Linked DNA regions of Pelodiscus sinensis. The protein of the gene in region 2 binds, or shares a complex with, the protein of the main gene of each other region. Links are inferred from orthologs where the notes say so. Each region holds a gene or a part of one and is shown on either strand. Other genes may lie near its edges.

Region 1 (7,026 bases), on a different chromosome or scaffold from region 2:
TGCTGCTCCCGTTCAGGCAAAAGTCCTTTTGTGCAAAGCTTTTGCGCAAAAGGGCCAGTGTAGACAGCTCAGATTTGTTTTGTGCAAAAAAGCCCCGATCGCGAAAATGGCAATAGGGGCTTTTTCTGCGGAAAAGCGCGTCTAGATTGGCACGGACGCTTTTCCACAAAAAGTGCTTTTGCGGAAAAGTGTCTGTGCCAATTTAGACACTCTTTTCCGCAAATGCTTTAAACGGAAAACTTTTCCGTCAAAAGCATTTGCAGAAAATCATGACAGTCTAGACGTAACCTAAGTGTATTTAGAATCCAGGAGACTTTTCCTCCCATAAACTCTACTCCAGCTATGAGCTCTATGTGGCTGCATAGAAGCTCACTACAGGACTGGAACATTCATTGCAGGTAGCAGTTTTGACAGACTAACCTTTTAGATACTAACAATGGTTTCCTAACAACTGGAAGATACTTTTAACAGTTATTTGCAAAATTGGAAGTCAGGGGTCTGTTTTCCTTGATGTAACCCCAATACCATTGCCATGGCTCTCAACCAGTAGTATTAGAAAGACTAGTGCGTGCTGGCCAAAGTTTAGCAGTGTTTGGAACTGGGGTTACAAAGATAATCCCAAACCACTATAGTTTTAGCCAGATGTTAACTTCCACCAAGTTTGAGGCTGTTTCAGTTGAAATTTTGGCCTATTTAACAACATGGTTGTACCCTGTGCACTATTCTGTGTATTACTCACCTGTTAATGCCAGCTCTAACCTCCTAGTGCTGTTCTCTCAAAGACATTGGCATGGTCTACACTTAAAAGTTTAAAGAGCAACAGTGGAAGTGTTGTAACACAGCAGTCAGTGTGATCATGGCAGGGGTGTTGGGAGAGAGCTCTCCCAGTGCTCTTGGTAAACCACCACCATGACTGGAATAGCTAACAACTCCCGCTATAGCCTGACTTACCCTGGCCCTTTACAGCTCTATAACTTGCTACACTGGTTAGAGGGGGTTTCCACACCCTTGAGCCAGAAACTTACAGTGCAGTAAAATGCTAATGTAGACTTAGCCATTAAGTTAATGATAGGACAGCAAAACCAGTAGTTTAGGCCTTATCCACATGTGAAGTTGTTCCCAATTAACTGTGCTATGGTTCAGCTAAACCAAAGCAGGCATTCTTGTTTCAGGCTCAGTGTCCACACTATTAATCAGGAACAACTCCCTGTTGTAGGGTTGCCATCCATCTAGGTAGGGTTGCCAGATGGTCTCCCAAAAAATACCGGACGCCAGGTATTTTTTGGTCGAGCAAAAAAAAAAAGGAATGCGGGATAAGCAGCGATCGCAACCCCGCCTCCCAGCTGGGACTCACAGGCTGGGAGGCGGGGCCACGATCGGCACTGGGAACCTGTGATTGCACAGAAGCCTGGCGGGGAGCAGACTCCCAGCCACTCCCTCCACCCCTGCCAGGCTTCTGCGCAATCACAGGCTCCCAGTGCCGATGGCGGCCCCGCCTCCCAGCCTGGGAGTCCCAGCTAGGAGGCGGGGCTACGATCATCGATTTGGGCGCTTCAGAAGCCTAGCTGGGGTGGGGGGAGTGGCTGGGACTCCCAGAACTCTTCTGAAGTGCGATCGCGGCTCCGCCTCCCAGCTGGGGACTCCCCACCTGGTAATGCTCTGGGCACTTCAGAAGCCTTGCGGGGGCAGGGGGAGTGGCTGGGAGTTCCAGACACTCCCCCCGTCCTGGCTAGGCTTCTGAAGTGCCCAGAGGGGTGATCGCTGTCCTGCCTCCTAGCTGGGACTCCCAGGCTAGGAGGCGGGGCCACCATGGGCGTTGGGCCCCTGTGATTGTGCAGAAGCCTGGCAGGGGCGGGGGGAGTGGCTGGGAGTCCCAGCCACACACCCTGCCCCTTCCAGGCTTCTGCGCAATCACAGGCTCCTACCGCTGATCGTGGCCCCACTTTCCAGCCGCTCCCCCCGCCCCTGCCAGGCTTCCGTCCGGTGCGCAGCTGGAAAAATCAGAGAATCTGATTTTTTTTACCGGACAAAGAGTGCAAATACCAGACTGTCTGGTAGAATACCGGACACCTGGCAACCCTACATCTAGGTATTACCTGGGGGGCTTGGTTTTGTTTGGGTTTTTTTGGCTTCTGTAGCCTGGGTGATTTGGAAGGCAATCCCTTAATCTGGGGAAAGTGGGAAATCTAGCAGCAGGAGACACTATGGTCCGTGGTTCTCAAACTTTTTGGGCTCCGGATCCCTTTACATGTGTAAAAATGTATGCGGAGCCCCAGCAGCCCACTGATTCTGTGTTGTACCTATCCCTGTTTCCAGTTTGTCAACCTCGGGGAGACCCTGGAGATGTCTTGAGGAGCCCTGGGGCTCCGTGGAGCACAGTTTGAGAAACACTGCGATAGTCTATGGGGTCCAGGGGAAGTTTAGGGCCGTTGTGACTGACGTTTTAGGGAGTAAGTAAAACTCCCCTTCCTTTTGTTTCATCACTTCATCTGAGAGAGGTGAATGCTCGCCAGGCTGGAGAGAAGAGAGGGTCACGCACCCTCTGCAGTAACTGCAGTTCTTTGATAGCGGCGGCCCTGTGGGTGCTCCACCTTCGGTATTTGGATGCGCCGTGCTGGGGCACCCACAGGGCCCGCCGCGAAGAAGCAGGGCAGGCCGGAGCAGCGCAGCTCGCCGCGGGGGCTGGGCAGCAGCACAGGCTGAGCGGCGCGGGGCCTGAGGCGGCTCTGGGCGGGGAGCTGGGCCCGAGCGGCGGGCGGAACTTTGGCGTGACGGGAAGAAGAGCGTGGGGCGCATGTTCCCAACCGGGGCGATTTCATCGCCGCACCGCGAACCCGGCCGGGACTTGCCACGTCTGAGCCGCCGGTAGCAGCCGCACGAGCCCGGCCCGCCCCGCCGCCGCCATGGTAAGGCCCCGCGAGCGGCTCCTTCCCACCGGGGAGGGACACAGCGTCTCAGGGGCGCGATCAGGTTCCTTCCAAGCCCCTGCCTTGCCCCCCCCCCCCGGGACGGGCCTTTCTCGCCGCCCTCCCTGGGGGGTCTCGCCGCTTTCTCGCTGACCCGGAGGGCGGGCGGGCCCCTCACTTCCCGGCCTGTGGTAGGCTCGCGAGCTTCCCGCGGCAGGGCCCTGGCCAGGTGAGGGCTCCAAGCCCCGTGCTCCTGGGCATCCCCCGTGTGATCGGCCACTAATAAAAAAGCGGGGGGGGAGTAGAGTGTAGGCTGGAGATGGACAAACACATCTTAGAAGAGGCAGCAGGAGCGTAGCCCCAGCTGCAGCTTTGGGCTGCACCACAGCCTAGTGCCTACTTAGAAGATCCGTGAACTTTAACCACCACGCTGGGCTTTCCTTGATATGGATACTGCCTGCTGTACACCTGGGGCTTGCGCTGCATTATCAACTCATATTGATTATAATTAAGTTGCTTAAGGGGTGGAAAGTCCAACCTGAATGAGGTTGTTATACTGACCCAGCCCCCCTGTGTAGCGAGCGCTCTATTGGCAGGAGGGCTTCTCGCAATGACATAGCTACTGCCTATCACTGAGGCTATGTCTACCTCAGACTTCACGCCTCTTTCAAAAGAGACTTTTTCGAAAGAATCTTTCGAAAAAGCCTCTTTCGAAAGAGAGCGTCTAGACTGCAATCTCTTCTTTCGAAAAAGTGAGCCACTTTTTCGAAAGAGAGCACTCAAGCAGTCTGGATGCTCTGTTTCTCAAAAACCCTGTTTGCATTCAAGAACACCTTTTTTCGAAAAAACACGTTCGAAAAAAGGCATTATACCTCATGAAATGAGGATTACCCCCATCGAAAGAAAAGCCACGTTCTTTCGATTTAATTTCGAAAGAATGTGGCTGTAGTCTAGACGCAGGTGAAGTTTTTTCAAAAAAAGGCTACTTTTTTCGAAAAAACCCTGCAGTCTAGCCACAGCCTGAGGTGGATAAACTCCATCGATAGTAGCATCTTGCCTATTGGAATAATCATGTCTTCACTGAAACATTACAGCTGTAGACATGCTTTTATATAGCACTCTACATCCTAGGGATGTTTGGTATCCTTATCCCTGTTTCACAGATTGGAGGTACTTTACAGGTAAGTACTGAGCAGTGAAGTGATTTATTTATGGCCTGTTTGTCTAAACTGGAGTGAAAATTCTGGAGCTCTGGTAACTTATTTTAGATGCTGCCTAGTGGTCTTGTTGCTTTCTCACAAAGGGACTGTTAGCAAGATGCAGAATAGATACAAAAAGCAGACCCTGCCAACCAAAACAGGACACTGGCATTTTGAAGTGAGCAGTGCCAGGTAAATGAAGTCAGAATGTGGAGGAAGTCCCGGATTTTGAATGTCTGGTGAAGGTATCCTTTTGTCCTTCATCCTCAACATATATTAGGGATACTGAGTGTTTCAAGGGATGACCTTTACTTCAGCATTGCTACACTGTCCAGTCTGACTAAGGAGCTGAAATCACTGGGCTCTGATGGTGTCAGCAGACGGTCAGGGCAGTGTGTGTGGGTGTGTCTCCTAAGTCTTTAGCTGCTAAGACACGAAGTCTCGTCGCAGCGGGCAGCCCAGAAGGCTGAAAGGAGCCCCGAGAGTTTAACGTCCGTGACTTTACTGCTAGGACCGAGGTCCCGTCGCAGAGGGTAGCCAAACAGGCTAACAGACGTCCCAGTGTGTAGGAAGAGCTTATTACACTTCAGATTTTAGCTGCTAGAACACGGGAGAGGGGGGAAGTTCCTTCACAGCGGGCAGCCCAGGAAAGGCTGAGAAGTGCCCCAGTGGACCCTGTCACCTGGGAGTGACACAGATCCAAACGCCCAAGCTCTTCCTATAACTGTCCCTTTAGACCGGCTGAAGTTCTTTTAAATTGTGCTTGGTTCTGTTACAGCAACTGAAGGAGTCAGGTTAAAGCTTAAACAGTTACAGGTTTATTGAGGAAGCTTATAAATCATATGGTTGCAATGGCTATTGTTCTATTTCTTAACTGCTAGCAAAATATAGATCTTAAAAATGGTTACAAAGAAGATAGATAGAAAAATAGAAATAATGGTACCAAGTAACAGCTTACTCTTTCTATGTGTACACTTAAGACAGAGGACCACATCCAGGTACAATTTTTACCCCCTTCTGTGCGTCTCGACTCCAGCATGTCAGGCCAGGGCCGGTCCCTCAATTCCTAGGAAAGATGAAAATACGAGGTGGGCGTCCCTATAGAACCTCGGGAGGTCAAACACCTAACCTGACCAGCAGGTAGAGGGTAGAATGACACTCAAAGTGAGTGTGTGCTGAACCCATCTTTTATACCCATTTTGGGTCACGTATTTCTCTTTTTTTATCTGTGATGCCAAATAGTGCTGGTCTCCCTTTTGTGAGACCAATTCTTACAAGGGAGTTGTGAACTTAATTTACACTTGTAAGAGAGATAACTAAATTGGAATTACTGGGGGATTCTTTTCTCAGTGGGAAATTCCTCTCCCAGGGACTGTGTGTGTGTTCGAATCAACATGGGTGCCAGCTGGGGCAGTTCTCGCAGCCTCGAGGCCAGCTTATTGACTTAATTGCTCTCTCTCTCCACATATCTGTTTTTTCAGCTTCTCAGGATCAGATGAGCCAGCATAGACTATGCTGATTTTACTGCTCCTTCTCTGCCCTGTATGCTTCAGAGAGGCAAATAAGATGGATGATATGGGGGGTTGGTGTGTCTGGCTACAGATGGCTGTACAGGTGGCTCCTGTGAAATGAGTTTGGTTTCAGTCCAGTTTCCAAATTCTTGGCACTGAGACACGCTTGTTCATAGCCTCAGCAAACACTAGTCAGGGAGATCAAACTGTCTTTCCTCCCCTTCTAGACCAGGACAGAGACACAAAGAATTGGTAAGGTAATGTGGGGAAGCTTGCATTGCCACAGCCTGGGCTCTATCGTGTCCATAAATAAAAAGGATATTATTTTCCATGGAGGGCAAGCCACTGTTAAATTCACACTTACCAAAACCCAGAACGAAAGCAAAGGTACTTTCTCCACCTTAAATATAACATTGCAAAGGTAAACTAAGATTGACCTGAGATGAAGTTTTTATTGAATGGAAATGGGTTACATCCTTAGTGTAGCTTAGAGGAAAACATCTTACCTGAGTATTTTAATATAAAATAGTCTCTGAGTAAACTTCAGTTTCAGTCTCCCTGTTGGCATTTGTACTAAATGTAAGTGATTTTTTTTCCCCCTCAGGTATCAGTAATTAACACTGTGGACACTTCTCATGAAGATATGATTGTAAGTATTTATTTAAAAAAAAAAAAAAAGCTGAGAGTTTTGCTTTACTGAAGAAAAATTATTTTGATTTTTTTTTTAAATTGTGGTAATGGGGAAAATTCAGCTGTCAGTTACCTGTGCAATTCCGATTACTTCAATGAGTTTATCTATACAGCACCTTCTAGTTACAGCTTGTGTGTGTAGGTGGTAGGCACAAGGAGGTATGGGGATGTTACAGCTCTGGGTGGAAGAAAGCAAAAGACTCAGTTTGGAGTTGGCTGAAGGAGAAACAATTTAGAGCTCTCATTCTGATGTCTGGGACTTGCTACTGTGAAACAAATAAACAAAAAAACCCCTAAGAACGTAGGCTGTTGCTTGGAGAACACAGAAGAATGAAATTGAGAGAGTAGTGTGTGCATGTATACTTAGAAAAGGAATATAACACTTCAGCATGTGAGTCTTCCACCCCAAAGAACAGCATCTTCTCTCAGTAAGTACGCTTCCTTGGTGCTTTATATGAAAGGATGTCAAAGTGACTTACAAACATTGATTAATGAAGCCTGAGTACATGGGTATGGTAGGCCAGCATTTAAAAAAAATATTATTTTATAAAGAGGGAAGCTAAGAATGGGGCAATTAAGTAGCTTTGCACAGGGCTACAGCATCAGTGGCAGAGAATGGAGCCTCAGAGTACCATCTTTCTATCCATTGCTCTAACTTTTAGGCACTATTTATTTTTACTGTAGTGGGGTGATATACCTGTCAGAGAAATATGAAATAGC
Region 2 (7,831 bases):
GTTGGTGGGAGAGCTCTTACAGAGCTCTGCGTACTTTGAAAACTTGCCTCTCTCAAGAGGAATGTATCCAATTAAAAAAACCAACTCTTCTCCCCCTGCCCCCGTGTCTCTCTAGGAAGCAATAATGCAGAAAAGGATCCACAATAATTTACTCCGGATCACCATCTAAATGACAGTCAATAAAGTCACACTGCTGCCCCAAACAGGTAACCGTTCTGATGTGTTAGCAGGTGTGCTGGAATCCTGTGTCCAGCTGTGGGCGCCAAACTTGCAGAAACATGAGGACAAACCAGAGGAAGCCAAAGGAGACCTAGAAAAATGTTTTAAAGATCTAGAAAACACAACCTGTAGGAGGGACTGAGAAAATTGGGTTTGTTTGGTCTGGAATAGAAATGACTGGGAAGGACATGGTAACAGCCTCCAACTATAAAAAAGTCTGTTCTAAAGAGGGTGAGAAATCATTCTCCTTAACTACTAAGGATGGGACCAGAAGTAATGGGTTTGAATAGCAAGCGAGAGTTTGTTAAGCATCAGGAAAAAGTTCTCCACTGTCAGGGTAGGTAAGTGCTGCACCAAATTAACTAGGCATCTGTCACTGGAGGTTGTTAAGAACAGACTAGAGCAGCGGTCTCCAATCTTTTTACACCCAAGATCACTTTTTAAATGTCAGGACAAGCCAAGATCTATACCCAACCTTCCCCAAGATCACACTCCTTCCTTGAGACCCTGCCCTCTCTGTTCCCCTTCTCTCCATCACTTGCTATCCCCAGCCCTTATACACTCTCAGGGTACGGCTACACTGCCGCTTTTTTCGATCCTTGCGTTGGAAGAGATTTTTCCAACATTTGGCCCGTCTGGACTGGGACAAATGTCGGAAACCCCCTTCTTTCGGAAGCCCCCTCATTCCTTGTGGAACAAGGAATACAGGGGCTGTCAAAAGAGCGTGTTTTCCGGAAAAACTCCTGCAGTCTAGCCGTACCCTCCCCGGGTGGAGACAGGAGGTGCAGGCTCTGGGGTGGGAATGAGGGATTTAGGTGTGGGGAAGGGTGAGAGGTGCAAGCTCTGGGAAGGAATTTGGATGCAGGAGGAGGTGGAGAAGGGGATGCTGGATCAGGGAGGGGGCTCCAGGCTGGGGAATGTTGGGCTCAGGTGGAGGGTTGGGGTGCTGAGCAAGCCACAGGCTTGTGGATGTGAGGGTGCAGGAGTTTGGGTTGGGGGTGTGAGGGGCTCAGGACACAGATTTGTGATGTGTGGATGGTGCAGGAGTGTTGTGGCCGAAGACTGAGAATGTGGGGGTGCAGGAGTTTGGGGATGTGAGAGGCTCAGGCCAGGGGGTTCCAGTGTACAATAGGCTCAGATTTAGGGTCGGAGTGGGGGGTACAGGAGTGTTATGATGCTGTGGCCAGATGGGGGCTTGGCCCCAATTGGGGGCTTGTTGGCCAGGCTTCATTTTGAAAGAAAATATTCTGCCAAACTCAAAAGATTTCAGCATTGTCTTTATTGATGAGAGGGGCAGGGAACCTGTTTTGAGTCAGGGGTCACTGACCCACAGAAAAGTCAGTTGGGGCCACACAAGTGAGATACAAAAACACAACCCCTCCAAACCTCACTAATGTGGCCCCAACTGTGCTGGTGGGGGAAGGGGGGTTGGGTGGGGGGGAGGGGACAGGGTACTTCGGGATCCTGCAGTTACACACCAAGTGCACAGGCTGCTACTTCGTCCCCCAAACAATGGTGCAGTACCTGAAATGCTGGTCCATAGCACACCTGATCCCTTCCTGCACAGGGGAAGGGGGAGTCCTGGACTGCGCCAGCCCCAACTGCTCGGGCAGCGCGTGCCTTGCTCCTCTGCTCCCCATGGCAGCACGCACCACCTGAGCAGCTGGAGCCAGTGCAGTCCTGGACCCCCACCCATTCCCCTGTGCACAGGAAGGCAGCAGGGGAACAAAGTCCCCAGCGCGCGACAGATCGGCATTTTAGGTACCATGCCGGCTGCTGGGGGCGGGGGGAGCAGCCCACGCACTTCTGGGGCCTGGCGTGCAGCTACAAAACTCCCTGCGACCCCGCAGGAAGCCCACACTACCTCCATAGTCCCTGGAGGTAGCATCACTGCAGCATTAATCTTGGGGGTGGGGGGCAGCGAGGGGGGGCCCCCAAAGCCTCATGATTGACTGGTTGAGCCTCAAGGATCGACCAGTCGATCGTGATAGACAGGTTGGTGACCATGGGACTAGAGAAACAACTCTCAGCTACGGTCTGGATTTATTTGATTCTGCCTCAGTACAGGGACCTGGACGTGATGACTTCTTGTGATCCCTTCCACTCCTGAATGTCTACGGGGAAGAAAGGATGGAAAATCCTGGTTAAGCTGACCTAACACTTAACCAGGTTCTGGGCAGGGAGCTGCTCCAGCCCACTGGGGTTCGTGCTCCCAGCCCCTGCCAGAGCAGCCCCATCCATGGCAGGCTGGGCTCCCCAACAGAGACTGCTCTGGACGCTAGGCTGGGGCTGAGGGAGGTTGGGGGTGGGGCTGGGGGGTGCAGAAGGGGGCTCTGAGCAGGGATGCGGGGGGGGCTGGGGACGAGGGAGGTTGGGGGTGGGGCTGGGGGGTGCAGAAGGGGGCTCTGAGCAGGGATGCGGGGGGGGCTGGGGACAAGGGAGGTTGGGGGTGGGGCTGGGGGGTGCAGAAGGGGGCTCTGAGCAGGGATGCGGGGGGGGCTGGGGACGAGGGAGGTTGGGGGTGGGGCTGGGGGGTGCAGAAGGGGGAGGCTCAGGCTGGGTGTGCAGGCTCGGGGGGGGTAGGGCTGGGGGGTGCAGAAGGGGGAGGGGAGCCCGCGGCGCATGCGCCCTGCTCCCCAGGCCGAGCGGGCTCGTTACCTGCGAGTCCCGGAACTCCACCACCACATTCTCGCTGCTCCAGCGCGCCGCCATCTTGCGCCGCCCCAGCGCCAGGGGGCGCGGCTGCGTACGGTGCGGCCGGAAGCGCAAGGCCTGCTGGGAGTTGTAGTCCCAGGGGCGGGGCGGGGATTGCTGCCAAACGCGAGGCTCTTCCCCGCCAGCTGCCTGCCTGTCTGTCCGTCCCCCCAGCTCGGGCAGGAGCAGCAGCGAGTTGGCTTTGTCCGGCTCCCACGCTCTCTTCTGCAGCTGTTACTTGTGCGGCCACGTGCCTCAGCCCAAGACGCCCGGGGAGGGCAGGCCCTGCATTTCCTAGCGAGCCATGAGTAGCGTGTGACGCCCGTGTTACAAAATGCCTTTACAAATACAAAGTAGTGTCATGTCTGCGAGTTGCCATGCCCTTGCAACGGCCCCAGTCTGGCAAGCACTTGGCCACGTGCTTTGTTTAGCTTACATGAGCAGTCCCACTGAAATTCATACCAGGGCTCACATCCTGGATCTTGCAAATGTGGCAGTGTATTGTACTGTACTAGGTGAGGTTACTGGGGTTACTCATGTCAGTGGCAGAACCTCCACTTTATAAATGCCTGAGATAGGGACTGAGCTGTCAACCACACAGTCACAACATATCTGGAAATGGAAGTGCACAATCAGGCAGCAGCAGAGAGCCCCCAAAAAGCAAACACAGTGCAGTACTGTGTTAAACTTGAGTTTTTAAACAATTGACAAGGTAAGGAAACTCTTCTATGCATGCTTCATTCAAATGAATATGATTAAAAGCAGAATTTTTCTTCTCCATAGTAAAGTTTCAAAGTATCAAATCAATGTTGTAACTTTGGAAAAAACCATAACATTTTGAGAACCTGAAAGCAAAACTAACTAGGAAATAACTTTAAATAAAACTGACTAGTCCGTTTCCTAGCAGAAGCTAAGTTAAATGCAAAAAGTAAGCAATACATATAAATAGTGAAAAGTGAATTAGGTTGATGATCATATTCTAAAAAGTTCCTACTACTGCTGCTTTGAGAACTTTTCAGTGTAGCCCTGTTGCACTTAGAACGCTGAGAAAGTAAAAACTATTTCACTCAACTCTACCATATCAAGTCACCGTTGTTGGTTTTTTTCTGTTTGTGTGTTACAATCTCAGGCCTCAAACTCTGCAATGAGATGAGTAAAGAGTAAAGCTTTACATCCACGTGGCACGCCACTGAATTTTGTAGTCAATTGCACAATCATGGACAAAGGGAGGACGTGATGATAATCTACAAATATTCAAATGCTGTAAATGACAGGAAGGGAGAGGAATTATTTCAAGTACAACTTGAAAAACTTCCTTACCATGGAAGCTATTAGAGCCTCCAGTAGTGTGGAGGAAGTGCACAAGGACAGGACATTTTTCCAATGGGCTGGGTGCATCATTATTAAGAGCTGACAGTGTGCTCTCTGTGTGCAAGATACAAAATACAGTCTCTGCTCCAGAGATCAGAAAAGTTCTACATGTATATGTGTATAACATTACACACATGAGCAATTGAGCAGATCCACTGAAGTCAATGAACCAGGTCACCTGTATGAGGAAAGCTACTCGTTTGTCTATGCTTCAGCGATGTCCCAACTTTAAAATTGAAATATTTATCTTTCCTTTGCCTACCTGACCTATTGAAATGTGGTAAGCATATGAGGACCCTGCCTGTCTCTTGTGTATCAGTACAGTCGCAGTGCTGGATTGACACACAAGTTAACTACAGTTTAAGGCCTCAGATTCAGAGGGGCCTTTAAATACAAAAAAATTACTCATTTTTAGGCACATTTTCACTTATGTACTGGGAGAGATGCAAATGATACAACTTTATTATTTCTATTGCCATTGTCCTTTCTGTTAGAATAATACACATTTTTAGTGTCAAGTATCAGAGGGGTAGCCGTGTTAGTCTGACTCTGCAAAAGCGGCGAGGAGTCCTGTGGCACCTTATAGACTAAGGTGCATCTGATGAAGTGGGTCTTTGCCCACGAGAGCTTATGCTCCTACACTTCAGTTAGTCTATAAGGTGCCACAGGACTCCAAACATTTTTGGGTCGTGGTAGTGGGGATTTTAAACTTGACATAGCTCAGGGCAGGGGTAGGGAATCTAAGGCCTGGGGGCCAGAGGCGGATCCGGTCCCTGAAGCTTGGGGCTCTCCCTCCCCAGCACTGGGGAGCCTGCACTGGTGCTCCACCCCTCCGCCATCCCTCCACGGGCTGGAGCACACAAAGTGTACTAGCCTGGGGGCACGGGTGTGCAAGGGGACCATGGGGAGTGTCTGTCTCCTTCTCAGTGGGGGGGGGGGGGGTTCTTTGGACTTGCGGCCGCCCTTGACTGATGTTCCTGTGGCTCAGCGGCCCCCAACCCAAGCAAGGTCCCCAGCCCTGACTGGGCCCTGGTGCGGTGCCTGTCCCAATGGGCCCTGCAGGCTCCTGGCAGGCTCTGGGACTCAGGCTCTGACACTGGTGTATTGCAACAGGCACCGTCATTGCACCGGCCCTGGGCGACAGCGCCCCCCGCCCCCGCCGCCGGCAGTGAAGGGGTTAATGCGGGCGGGGCGGAGCGAAGCGCGGCGCATGCGCGCGGGCGGCCCCTATTGTCTCGGCTGGCCCCAGCCGCGAGCGAGGCGGCGGGAGACTTCGCTCCACGGACCAGGCCCCCTGCGGCCCCGAGTCAGGCGCGCGCGCGGGTCGGCTCTGCGGGTGCTAGCGGGCCCCGGCCTCGCAGCCAGGCGGGCGGGCGGCCTTTGCTCGCTGCTCCCCCTCCCCCGCGGCGCGCGGCCCCCGCCTGCTCCACCCCCTCCCCCCGGCTCCGGCTGCGGCTGCGCGGCCGGGGGCCCGGCGGGGGGGCCATGCCGGCGGCGCGGCGCGGTTTTAATTCCTAGTGTGCCGTCGCCGCCTCCCCGCGTCCCTGCCCGCGCCGCGGAGCCCATGGGCGGCAAGCAGAGCAGCGCGGGCCGCGCGCGGGACCCCTTCCCGGGCGTCTCCAGCGACGACAGCGCCGTGCCCCCCCCGGGCGCGCCGCCCCCCTTCGGGCCCTACCGCGCGGGCGGCGCCATGGGGCTGCGCAGCCGCTCCGTCAGCTCGGTGGCCGGCATGGACCCCGCCGCCGCCGCCGCCGCCGGGCCCTTCGGCCTGTACGCGCGGGCGGCCGCCGACCCCGAGCGGGCCCCGGCCGGCGGCGGCTCGGCCGCGGACTCCACCTACGCCCATGGCAACGGTTACCAGGAGACGGGAGGCGGTCGCCATGGCGACGGGATGCTCTACCTGGGCCCGCGGGCCTCGCTGGCCGACGCGCTGCACATCGCGCCCCGCTGGTTCAGCGCGCACAGCGGTGAGTCCGGGCCGGGGGGGGGGGGGCGCGGGGGCGGTGAGTCCGGGCCGGGCCGGGGGGGGGGGCGCGGGGGCGGTGAGTCCGGGCCGGGCCGGGCCGGGCCGGGGGGGGGGGGGCGCGGGGGCGGTGAGCCTGGGCCGGGGGGGTGTCCGTGGGCTGCTCCCTGCGGGCCCGGGCCCGTGTTCTCAGCGGCACCCCGGTCCCGGGCGCTGTAACCGGACCGCCTGGCCCAGCAGAGCCAGCCGGGCACAGGGCCCGTGCCAGGCAGAAAGCTGCCAGCACCTGCCCTGGCCTTCCCCTCCCTGCTCTGCCTTGGCTCTCCTAGAGGCCTCTACGGCAGGCCTGAGTGTCCTCCCTTGCCGCCTGTCTGGGGGTGGGTCAGCTCCGGCAAAAGTAGCCTGGGGTGGTGTAAACCCGCTCCAGGGCAAGTAGTTTGCTGGGAAGGACTGAGCCGGGTTTTGGGCTGGTGTGGTTATAGTCTCTAGTGTCTGGATGTCTTCAGGAAAAAAATGAAGAAGGGAGGGTCTGGGAAACCTGAAAATGAGAAGTAGGAGTTTGTGCCCTTTCTTCTGGGAAGAGGCCACAAAAAGAGGCCGAAGGGGTTTTCCCATCCGACCAGCTGGCATAGTCAGGATGCCCTGTAGCAAGTGGAGAGAGAGGAAATGACTTGTCTGGCCTGCTTGAGGATACTGTGGAGTGAGCAGGCACTGCTGTAGGAAATCTGTTAGGGCTGAGGGAGAGAGGAAGCCCTCCCCTCCCTCCCCCCCCCCCCCCCCCCCCCCGCCTCGCTCCTAAACAGCTCCATTGGCCGGGCTGGCTGTCCCAGTGGGATTGTCAGAGACCTAAGGCAGGGAAAGAGTGGGAGCCCTCCCTGCTGTGAAGTCATTTCAGGGATGGTGTCTTGTTTCCTGGAATAGTCTGGGACTTTCTCCCCCTCCACCGCCTTCCTGAGTGCTGTCAATGACCTTGTTCTGGGAATCTCCTAGTACCTCTCAAGAGCATGCCTCCTTTCATGGGGAGCAAACGTAGGACAAGGGAGTGAAATGCAAAGCAAGACTCATAGGACCCGCTTCTCCCAATCGAGGGGGCTTGCTGCTGCCACTTGGACAGGTGCTCTCTGGTGCCCTGAGTTAATGTAGGGTACCCCAACTGTTCTGCTGTTACCCCAGACAGTCAAGAAAGCCTAGTGACTGGAGCACAGGGTTGGGAGTTGGGACTCCTGGGCTCTCTTCTAGCTGCCCTGCCGTGTGACACTGTGCAGCTGCCTGCCTCAGTTTCCTTCTCTGTTTTTTAAAGCAATGATTCTTCTGTGTGGCATGTTGTCAGCTCCTGAAAGCCAGTATAATCATGCCAAGTGTCAGTGTTGCAGTGGAATCCCACCCAGTTGTAGGTGATGGCACCTGTTCTGTTAGAGTGGAGCTGCCCTTCTCAAAGTACCTTTCTGAGAGGCATGATCTGAACGTCAGTCTTTTCTTGCTTGCTTACTGATTTGCAAAATGGACTAATGCCCCTCCTGGGTCTCCCAGCTGTTAGTGTGAGTTAGTGAAGGTTTGTGTTACTGCATGTGATGTGCTTTGCTG
Region 3 (7,048 bases), on a different chromosome or scaffold from region 2:
ACCTTCGTAGAAGGAAGCAACGCGATCATGGAAGTATGGGTCTACATTTACCCCCTGAACAGCTTTGGTATTTACAAACATTTTTTGGCTTGTATTCCTAAGGTCAAAGATAGCCAAGTTTCGGTGCATTCCAGCTAAAAGAAGTTTCTGGTCACGCGGAAGCCAACAAAGAGAAAGACAAGCATCATTCTGTCCTAATTCATAAAGCGGCTTTGTCACTACTAGCCCAGCTTCAGTATCTCCAGCTGAAAGTCTCGTTTTCTCTGTAGCAACAGCACTTTCTGGAGCATATTTGCTACTAATATCCCAGATCAATACTGAAAAGTCAGCCCTATGTTTATCTAGTCCAGCAGCAAGCCAATTACTGTCCAATGGATTCCATGCCAAGGTATTACATTGCCGTGCATGTTTTGGAACAAATTCTTTTCCTATCAACTCTTTGGACTTTGAGTTGTGATCTTGGCCAAGGCTTGTAAGGACAACTCGACCGTTGGCTTGTCCAACAGCTAGAAGACACTCAGGATCATATTTAGGATACCATGCCACACATTTCATATACGGTGTATCTGAATTTATTGACAATAATGTAGCTGCAGTTTCTTCTGATAATCGCAAGGATCCTGCTTTGAGTTCAGAACTCACAGCAGACTCAATATGATAGAGGCTCAATTCTGAGTCACATACAACAAATCTATCAACATGGTGTGGAGCCCACAGAATATCTGGTTTGGAGCCACTCATGTTTGCAACTGCAGATTAGTACAAGCAATTTAAATTTTCTTCGTAAGACTCAGGTGATGTCCATTCATATGGAAACTGTTAAAAAAAAGGAATGGTAAGGGTTTTAGCAAACAATTTGTATATTTGTAGTTGCCCAAATAATCTTAAATGAATTAAAAATAATGCAAGACCTTGTCTTAACTTTAAGGCAAATATTCAAGTACTAAATATACACTTAACCCTGATATTGTAAAACTCTCTCCCATCACCTCAAAATTCCACCCTCAACCCTCTTTTGTCCATTATTGATGTTCTCTATTTATTGGGAGAAAAATATTCAGCTAGCCTTATTTGAAGTGACATCGGGATTTCCCATGTGTTGGACTAGTATTCCTTTATTATACTACTCTACTGTGAACTAGGGATGTTAGATAGCGGGTAATAAAAGTGTCAGCTAACCACATGAATTCTTAGTGGTTAGTCAACTATTCTACAGTCCCCAGGGGTGGGGCCTGCAGCCAGTGCCCTCCTGCCCCACTCCCAGGGAGCCCCCTGTCACCCTCACACTGCTGCTTCTGATGAAGGGGTCCATCGCACTGCTGCCACGAAGCAGCCTCCGCCCACAGCAAGCCAGGGCCCACATAGGCAGAAGCTGCTTCATGTCAGCCTCTCCTAACCATGCCTCTGATAGAATCCAGTTCCCCTCCAGCACTGGATCCTGCTCTCTCCCCTCCCCTTGCTACTTCTGATTCAGAGGCAGCAAGCGGGGGGGGGGGGGGGAGGGAAGGCGGGGAAGAAGGGGGGGAGAGAATGCAAGTAGTCAACTAGCTTCACCAATAAACCTGAGCGAATCAGTTAATCCATCTAGTCAACTATTCATTAACATCCTTACTGTGAACACTGAGTTCTCTGAGAATGACATGATCTCAGGTTAAAATTAATCTCATGTAGAATATGAAAAGACTGTCAAATCACAGGTGTTTTTATTGTGAAACTAGAGGAAAATGTCATGCCATTTTGCAAAAGTGTAGCCTCTCATGAAAGACTTAAAAGAAACCAATTGATATCCTGTTAAAGTATTAGGATATCATAAAAGCATTTACAAAATACTTGATCAATTTGTTGTTCTCAATTTTGCAACATACAGGCAGTCCCCGGGTTACACGGATCCGACTTACATCGGATCCCTACTTACAAACGGGGAGAGGCAACCCCGCACTAGCTGCTTCCCCCCAGCAGACCAGGGAGACGCGGAGCGGCTTTTCTCAGCAGACACCTCAGCTTGAGAATAAAGAACTGAGGGAAGTGAGGTGTGGGAGAATAAAACTGAGCTCTGGAGAAATGTTTGGCTAGAGTTTCCCCTACAATATGTACCAGTTCTGACTTACATACAAATTCAACTTAAGAACAAATCTACAGTCCCTATCTTGTACGTAACCCAGGGACTGCCTGTAGAGAGCTTCAGGACAATTTTCTACACAGAAACAGACTTCAACAATAAGGCTAAGATTTTATTATCGTATTTTTTTAATAAAAGTCACAGCCAATAAACAAAAATTCACAGAGATTATCTGGGACTTTGTTAAAAATAACCAGGGACAGGGCTGAACAGGTGGCACACATGGGAGACTAAGAGGCAAGAACCCCACCATGCCAGGGAACCCAATTCTCGCTACAATGGGGGAGGCACACAGCCCCTCACTCCATAGCAGCAGGACAAGCCTGCACAGCTCTCCCCACCCACAGTAGGGAGCACTGCAGAGGAGGGGCACACGGCCCTTGCTGCAGTCCCCAGCACAAGCCACGGGGCTTGGTGCCACAAGGGGCGCCCAGCCCCGCTGCAGTTGCCCCAAGCCCGCACCCAGCCAGCGAGCAGGGGCTGCAGGGTCCAAAGACCCTTCGCGTGCCTGGGGGGCGGGTCTGTCACCTGAACGACGCGCTCTTCGGAGCACTGCACAGAAACCGGCCCCCCCGCGCAGCACTCCACGGCTCAGCCCGCTCCGCTCACTCACCGCGCGGGCGCGCGCAGCCGCCCTCCCGGGCCGAACCCCAGCGCTGCCACTCGCGCTCCCGGCAGCCGCGCGTGACGCCACAACGCGACCCCGGCAGCGCCCTCACTTCCGTACACGGTAAGAAGCGCCGTTTGGCTACGTCACCACGGCGCCGTTAACGCATTTTATCCCGCTCGATTGGCGGCCTGCGGGGAAGCTCCGCCTCGAAGCCTCCGCAGTTGCCAGGGCGACTGCCGGCCGGGGGGCGCGAGCGCTGGTTCCACGCCGCTCTCGGGGCGGCCGGCCGGGGGGCGTGGCCGGAAGGGCCGCGGCCGCATCGCTACCAGCCACTGAGCGCCGAACGCCTCGGGGCCCGCCGCCATCTGCACTGGGACGCCTCTGCCAGCACCTGCTGGGCGGAGGGGGGGGGACCATTTTCTAATTGCAGAAAACTGTCCTTGCTCCGCCCACCGCCCCCCCCCCCGAGGCCCCGCCCACGCCCCAGTCACTCCCAGGGTCCCAAACCCGCCCCCTCCGTTCCCCTCCATCACATACCTGCAGGGGTGAAAGTAACTTGCATTTCTTACCGGCGCTGCCATATGGCAATTGCCCCCCCCCCCCGCCGCCCCTTGGGAGGTTTATATGCGTAGGAGGCGTTGCTTTAAAATTACTGTCCACTGTAAATTGTACCCCTTGACCAACTAATCCAATAAGGGCTGGGGGCGGCTGTCCCAACCCCTGTCTAATATATTGGCTATAAAACTGCTTTACTTCGTCAAGAGGATCCACCTTTCCTGTCTATGAGTGAGGCCCAGCCGGTACCGTTATGTCACATCCGACCAGAAGTGAACCTATGCCACCTGACAAGAAGTAAAAACGAAAACCTGAGCGAATTTGTAATAGAAAATACTGTGAATGAAAATGTGCATCATTAAAGCAATAACTCTTATTTTCTGTTATTAATACAGTTTCATTTCCATTGGAATGGGGATGGGGAGGCTCGCAGGATAGTGGGGGAGGGCTCAGAACAGAGGGTGGAGAGGCTGGTGTGTGGGAGATATAGAGGTCAGAGCTGGAGGTAGGTATGATTACTATTCCCAATATGGGGTAATTTAACTGAAGAGTCCCCTAGATATAGCCCCTGGGACAAAAAAACCAATAACTTTTCTTACCGTTGACCTAGTTTAAGAATGACACTAAGCTGGGGGGAGAGGTAGATACACTTGAGGGCAGAGATCGGGTCCAGAGTGACTTAGACAAATTGGAGGATTGGGCCACAAGAAATCTGATGAGGTTCAACAAGGACAAGTGTAGAGTCCTGCACTTGGGATGGAAGAATCCTAAGCATTGTTACAGGCTGGGGACCAACCAGCTAAGTAGTAGTTCTGCAGAAAAGGACCTGGAGATTACAGTGGATAAGAAGCTGGATATGAGTCAACATTGTGCCCTTGTAACCAAGAAGGCTAATGGCATATTAGGTTGTATTAAGAGGAGCATTGCCAGCAGATCCAGAGATGTGATTATTCCCCTTTATTCAGCTCTGGTGAGGCCACATCTGGAGTATTGTGTCCAGTTCTGGCCCCCCCACTACAAAAAGGATGTGGACGCACTGGAGAGGGTCCAGCAGAGGGCAACCAAAATGATTAGGGGGCTGGAGCATATGACCTATGAGGAGAGGCTGAGGGAGTTGGGTCTGTTTAGTCTGCAGAAGCGAAGAGTGAGGAGGGATTTGATAGCAGCCTTCAACTTCCTGACGGGAGCTTGCAAAGAAGATAGAGAAAGGCTGTTCTCAGTGGTGACAGATGGCAGAACAAGGAGCAATGGTCTCAAGTTGTGGTGGGAGAGGTCCAGGTTGGATATTAGGAAAAACTATTTCACTAGGCGAGTGCTGAAGCACTGGAATGGGTTACTTAGGGAAGTAATGGAGTCTCCATCTCTAGAGGTGTTTAAGTCTTGGCTTGACAAAGCCCTGGTTGGGTTGATTTAGTTGGGATTGGTCCTGCCTAGAGCAGGGGGCTGGACTTGATGATCTTCTGAGGTCTTTTCCAGCTCTATGATTCTATGATATATTATAGTTTACCAATATATTTTTGCCCAGACTTGGGGACCAAACCATGGCTTTGAACATAATCCAGGGTCTTACGCAGTTGATGTTTGCCCACAGAAAGTGCATGGCACCTACTATCCCTTCGTTATTACCAAAATAATTCACTTCTTCAGTTAGGGCATGTCTATACATCAAAGCTAATTCGAAATAACAGCCGTTATTTCAAATTAACTTTACTAGCGTCTACACAGCCAAACCGCTATTTTGAAATAAATTCGAAATAGTGGAGCACTTATTTCGAATTTGGTAAACCTCATTCTATGAGGAATAACGATAAATTCGGAATAGCTAATCAGAAATAATTGCTGTGTAGACACTTAGGGTATGTCTACACTACCCTCCTAATTCGAACTAGGAGGGTAATGTAGGCATACCGCACTTGGAAATGAAGCCCGGGATTTGAATTTCCCGGGCTTCATTTGCATAAGCGGGGAGCCGCCATTTTTAAATCCCCGCTGGTTCGAACCCCGTGTAGCGTGGCTACACGGGGCTCGAACTAGGTAGTTCGGACTAGGTTCCTATTCCAAACTACCGGTACACCTCGTTCCACCTGGACTAGTGCGGAGATCATGGACCGCATTGAGGTTTGGGGAGAGGTCTCCACTGTCCATGATCTCCGCACTAGATGAAGGAACGCGGCCGTCTACAGCCGCATAGTTGCCACCATGGCCACTAAAGGCCACATGCACACCTAAGAACACGTGCGCATGAAAATTAAAGAATTGAGGCAGGGATATGCCAGGGCCAAACAGGGCAGCTCCCCAACAGGGGCATATACCTGCCCCCATTTCGAGGCCCTGGACCGTATCCTGGGGGGTGGGATGGTCCATGCCAGCCCAGGGGGCAGCGAGCCGGGAGCAGAGGGCCCTGATCAGGGCATGGAAGAGGAGCTGTCCCAGCAGTGGAGTCACCAGGGTCGGCCGGGGAAGCCACACCAGGCAAGTGCCATCACTGTCCCCTTCCTGGGGGGGGGGGTGGGGAGGAAGACCAGGGACCGTGCGCATGGGCCTTGCTTACCACGGATCTTGCAGCAACCTGTGCACGTGAGCACGTGCCGTGCCACCCCTGGGCAGGTGGCTCCAACTCGTGCCACACAGTGGGATGGAGTTCGGTGGCTGGGGGTCAAGGGGTTGGGGATGAAGTTCTGGGGCCAGGGGGTTGGGGGCTTGGGGCCAGGGGTTGGAATTGGAGTTTTGTGGCTGGGGGCCAAGGGATGGGGATGGAGTTTGGGGGCTGGGGGCCGGGGAGAGGGTACAGGGTGCCAGTCGGGGGAGAGATTCCCCTGCACCCACCTCCTCCCAAGATCCCTCCCCCCCGAGAGAAGCCGGCACGCGCCTCTCCCAGGGTGACCCCCCCCCCACGGCACAGGGGAAACCCTCCATGTGTTTCTCCTCCCCCGGGGCCAACCCCCCCGTGGCACAGGGGAACCCCCCCTCTCCTGCGTGCTGACTTACCCCCCTCCTGGTCGCAGGGAAGCCATGCTCCAGGTAAGGCATGGGAAATGGAAGGGGCAGAGTTTGGAATTTGGCGCCCCATGCAACTTGGCACCCTAGGCGGCTGCCTAGTTTGCCTATAGGCACGGGCCGCCCCTGGCCCTGAGCTTCCCCTCCCCCTTCTTCCCCGTGCTTCCCCCTTCCAGCTCCCTCCACCCAGGTTTCCCTCTCCCCGCTCCTGCCTCCTTTCCCCAGTCTCCCCATAGTTTAATCCCCCCCCCCAGTTTTGTTAAATAAAAAGACTTGATATTTTTTAAAATACATGTATTTTATTTGACATCAGGAAGGGGGGCTAGGGAGGGGTACGTTGAAGGACGTGAGGGAGGAATGAGGCACAAGCCCCCAGTGGGCAGACCAGGGAGGCTCTGAGTGGACGCTCTCCCACAGGGCCTCCTGGATACTGACAGCCCCTCGATGGACCTCCCGGATGACAGCCTGCAGCAAGTGCAGCCAGGCTGATAGCAACGCATCCACGAGAAGCACCAAAGTGTCCAGGGGGCTGTCCCTCATCGAGGTAGGATGGGAAAGCTGAGAACTGGCTGTCCGGGGGGGTCCCTTAAAGCACAGACCTCAGATAACCTCAGGCAGCAGCCCCACACAGTAAGTGTGCCCTGCTGGAACTGGTTCTGGCCAGCCTTACATGCGAGTCAGAGTCCACTCAGTGTGGACCCGCTATTTCAAACTAGCAAAACGCTATTTTTAAATGCATTTTGTGTGTAGACACGTTATTTCGAAAT

The links.
Region 1: the proteins of WDR59 (region 2) and SEC13 are in contact, whole or in part, in a cryo-EM structure (PDB 7UHY), measured with the Homo sapiens proteins. The link is inferred for Pelodiscus sinensis from reciprocal best matches to the Homo sapiens genes WDR59 and SEC13. Residues at the interface, in NP_085058.3 of Homo sapiens: Ala525, Tyr526, Gly527, Asp531, Ala532, Asn533, Ile534, Pro535, Phe536, Pro537, Arg538, Thr539, Ser540, Gly541, Ala542, Arg543, Phe544, Cys545, Gly546, Ala547, Tyr549, Val551, Phe553, Thr554, Arg555, Met557, Ala644, Gly645, Lys646, Val647; in NP_899195.1 of Homo sapiens: Val4, Ile5, Asn6, Thr7, Val8, Asp9, Thr10, His12, Asp14, Met15, Ile16, His17, Asp18, Ala19, Gln20, Met21, Asp22, Tyr23, Tyr24, Gly25, Leu28, Val42, Pro59, Trp61, Gln62, His67, Pro68, Tyr79, Ser105, Asn107.
Region 3: the proteins of WDR59 (region 2) and MIOS are in contact, whole or in part, in a cryo-EM structure (PDB 7UHY), measured with the Homo sapiens proteins. The link is inferred for Pelodiscus sinensis from reciprocal best matches to the Homo sapiens genes WDR59 and MIOS. Residues at the interface, in NP_085058.3 of Homo sapiens: Tyr871, Arg876, Glu877, Arg879, Ala880, Glu881, Leu883, Lys884, Pro889, Pro890, His893, Lys894, Gly895, Ile896, Glu897, Phe898, Gly899, Val900, Tyr901, Arg906, Glu908, Val909, Arg910, Thr912, Phe922, Gln923, Ala925, Ile926, Cys927, His928; in NP_001357005.1 of Homo sapiens: Asp705, Trp710, His711, Arg713, Ala714, Ile718, Ser721, Lys728, Pro729, Leu730, Ala731, Gln732, Val733, Phe734, Val735, Ser736, Cys737, Asn738, Phe739, Ile744, Lys780, Pro781, Leu782, Pro783, Leu787, Cys788, Leu789, Gly793, Pro795, Gln819.

What each region holds. Positions count from the first base shown.
Region 1 is NC_134721.1:19,785,531-19,792,556, reverse strand, and holds the start of SEC13 (protein SEC13 homolog), read left to right. Parts: upstream 1-4,024; 5' UTR 4,025-4,039; coding exon 4,040-4,087; intron 4,088-6,220; coding exon 6,221-6,265; intron 6,266-7,026. UniProt on the Homo sapiens protein: Functions as a component of the nuclear pore complex (NPC) and the COPII coat. At the endoplasmic reticulum, SEC13 is involved in the biogenesis of COPII-coated vesicles.
Region 2 is NC_134722.1:48,050,296-48,058,126, reverse strand, and holds the start of WDR59 (GATOR2 complex protein WDR59), read right to left. Parts: upstream 3,046-7,831; 5' UTR 2,932-3,045; coding exon 2,878-2,931; intron 1-2,877. Other genes in the region: E3 ubiquitin-protein ligase ZNRF1, read left to right, coding at 5,495-6,251. UniProt on the Homo sapiens protein: As a component of the GATOR2 complex, functions as an activator of the amino acid-sensing branch of the mTORC1 signaling pathway. The GATOR2 complex indirectly activates mTORC1 through the inhibition of the GATOR1 subcomplex.
Region 3 is NC_134712.1:209,684,691-209,691,738, forward strand, and holds the start of MIOS (GATOR2 complex protein MIOS), read right to left. Parts: upstream 3,095-7,048; 5' UTR 2,847-3,094; exon of another isoform or gene 2,648-2,846; intron 817-2,647; 5' UTR 742-816; coding exon 1-741. UniProt on the Homo sapiens protein: As a component of the GATOR2 complex, functions as an activator of the amino acid-sensing branch of the mTORC1 signaling pathway. The GATOR2 complex indirectly activates mTORC1 through the inhibition of the GATOR1 subcomplex.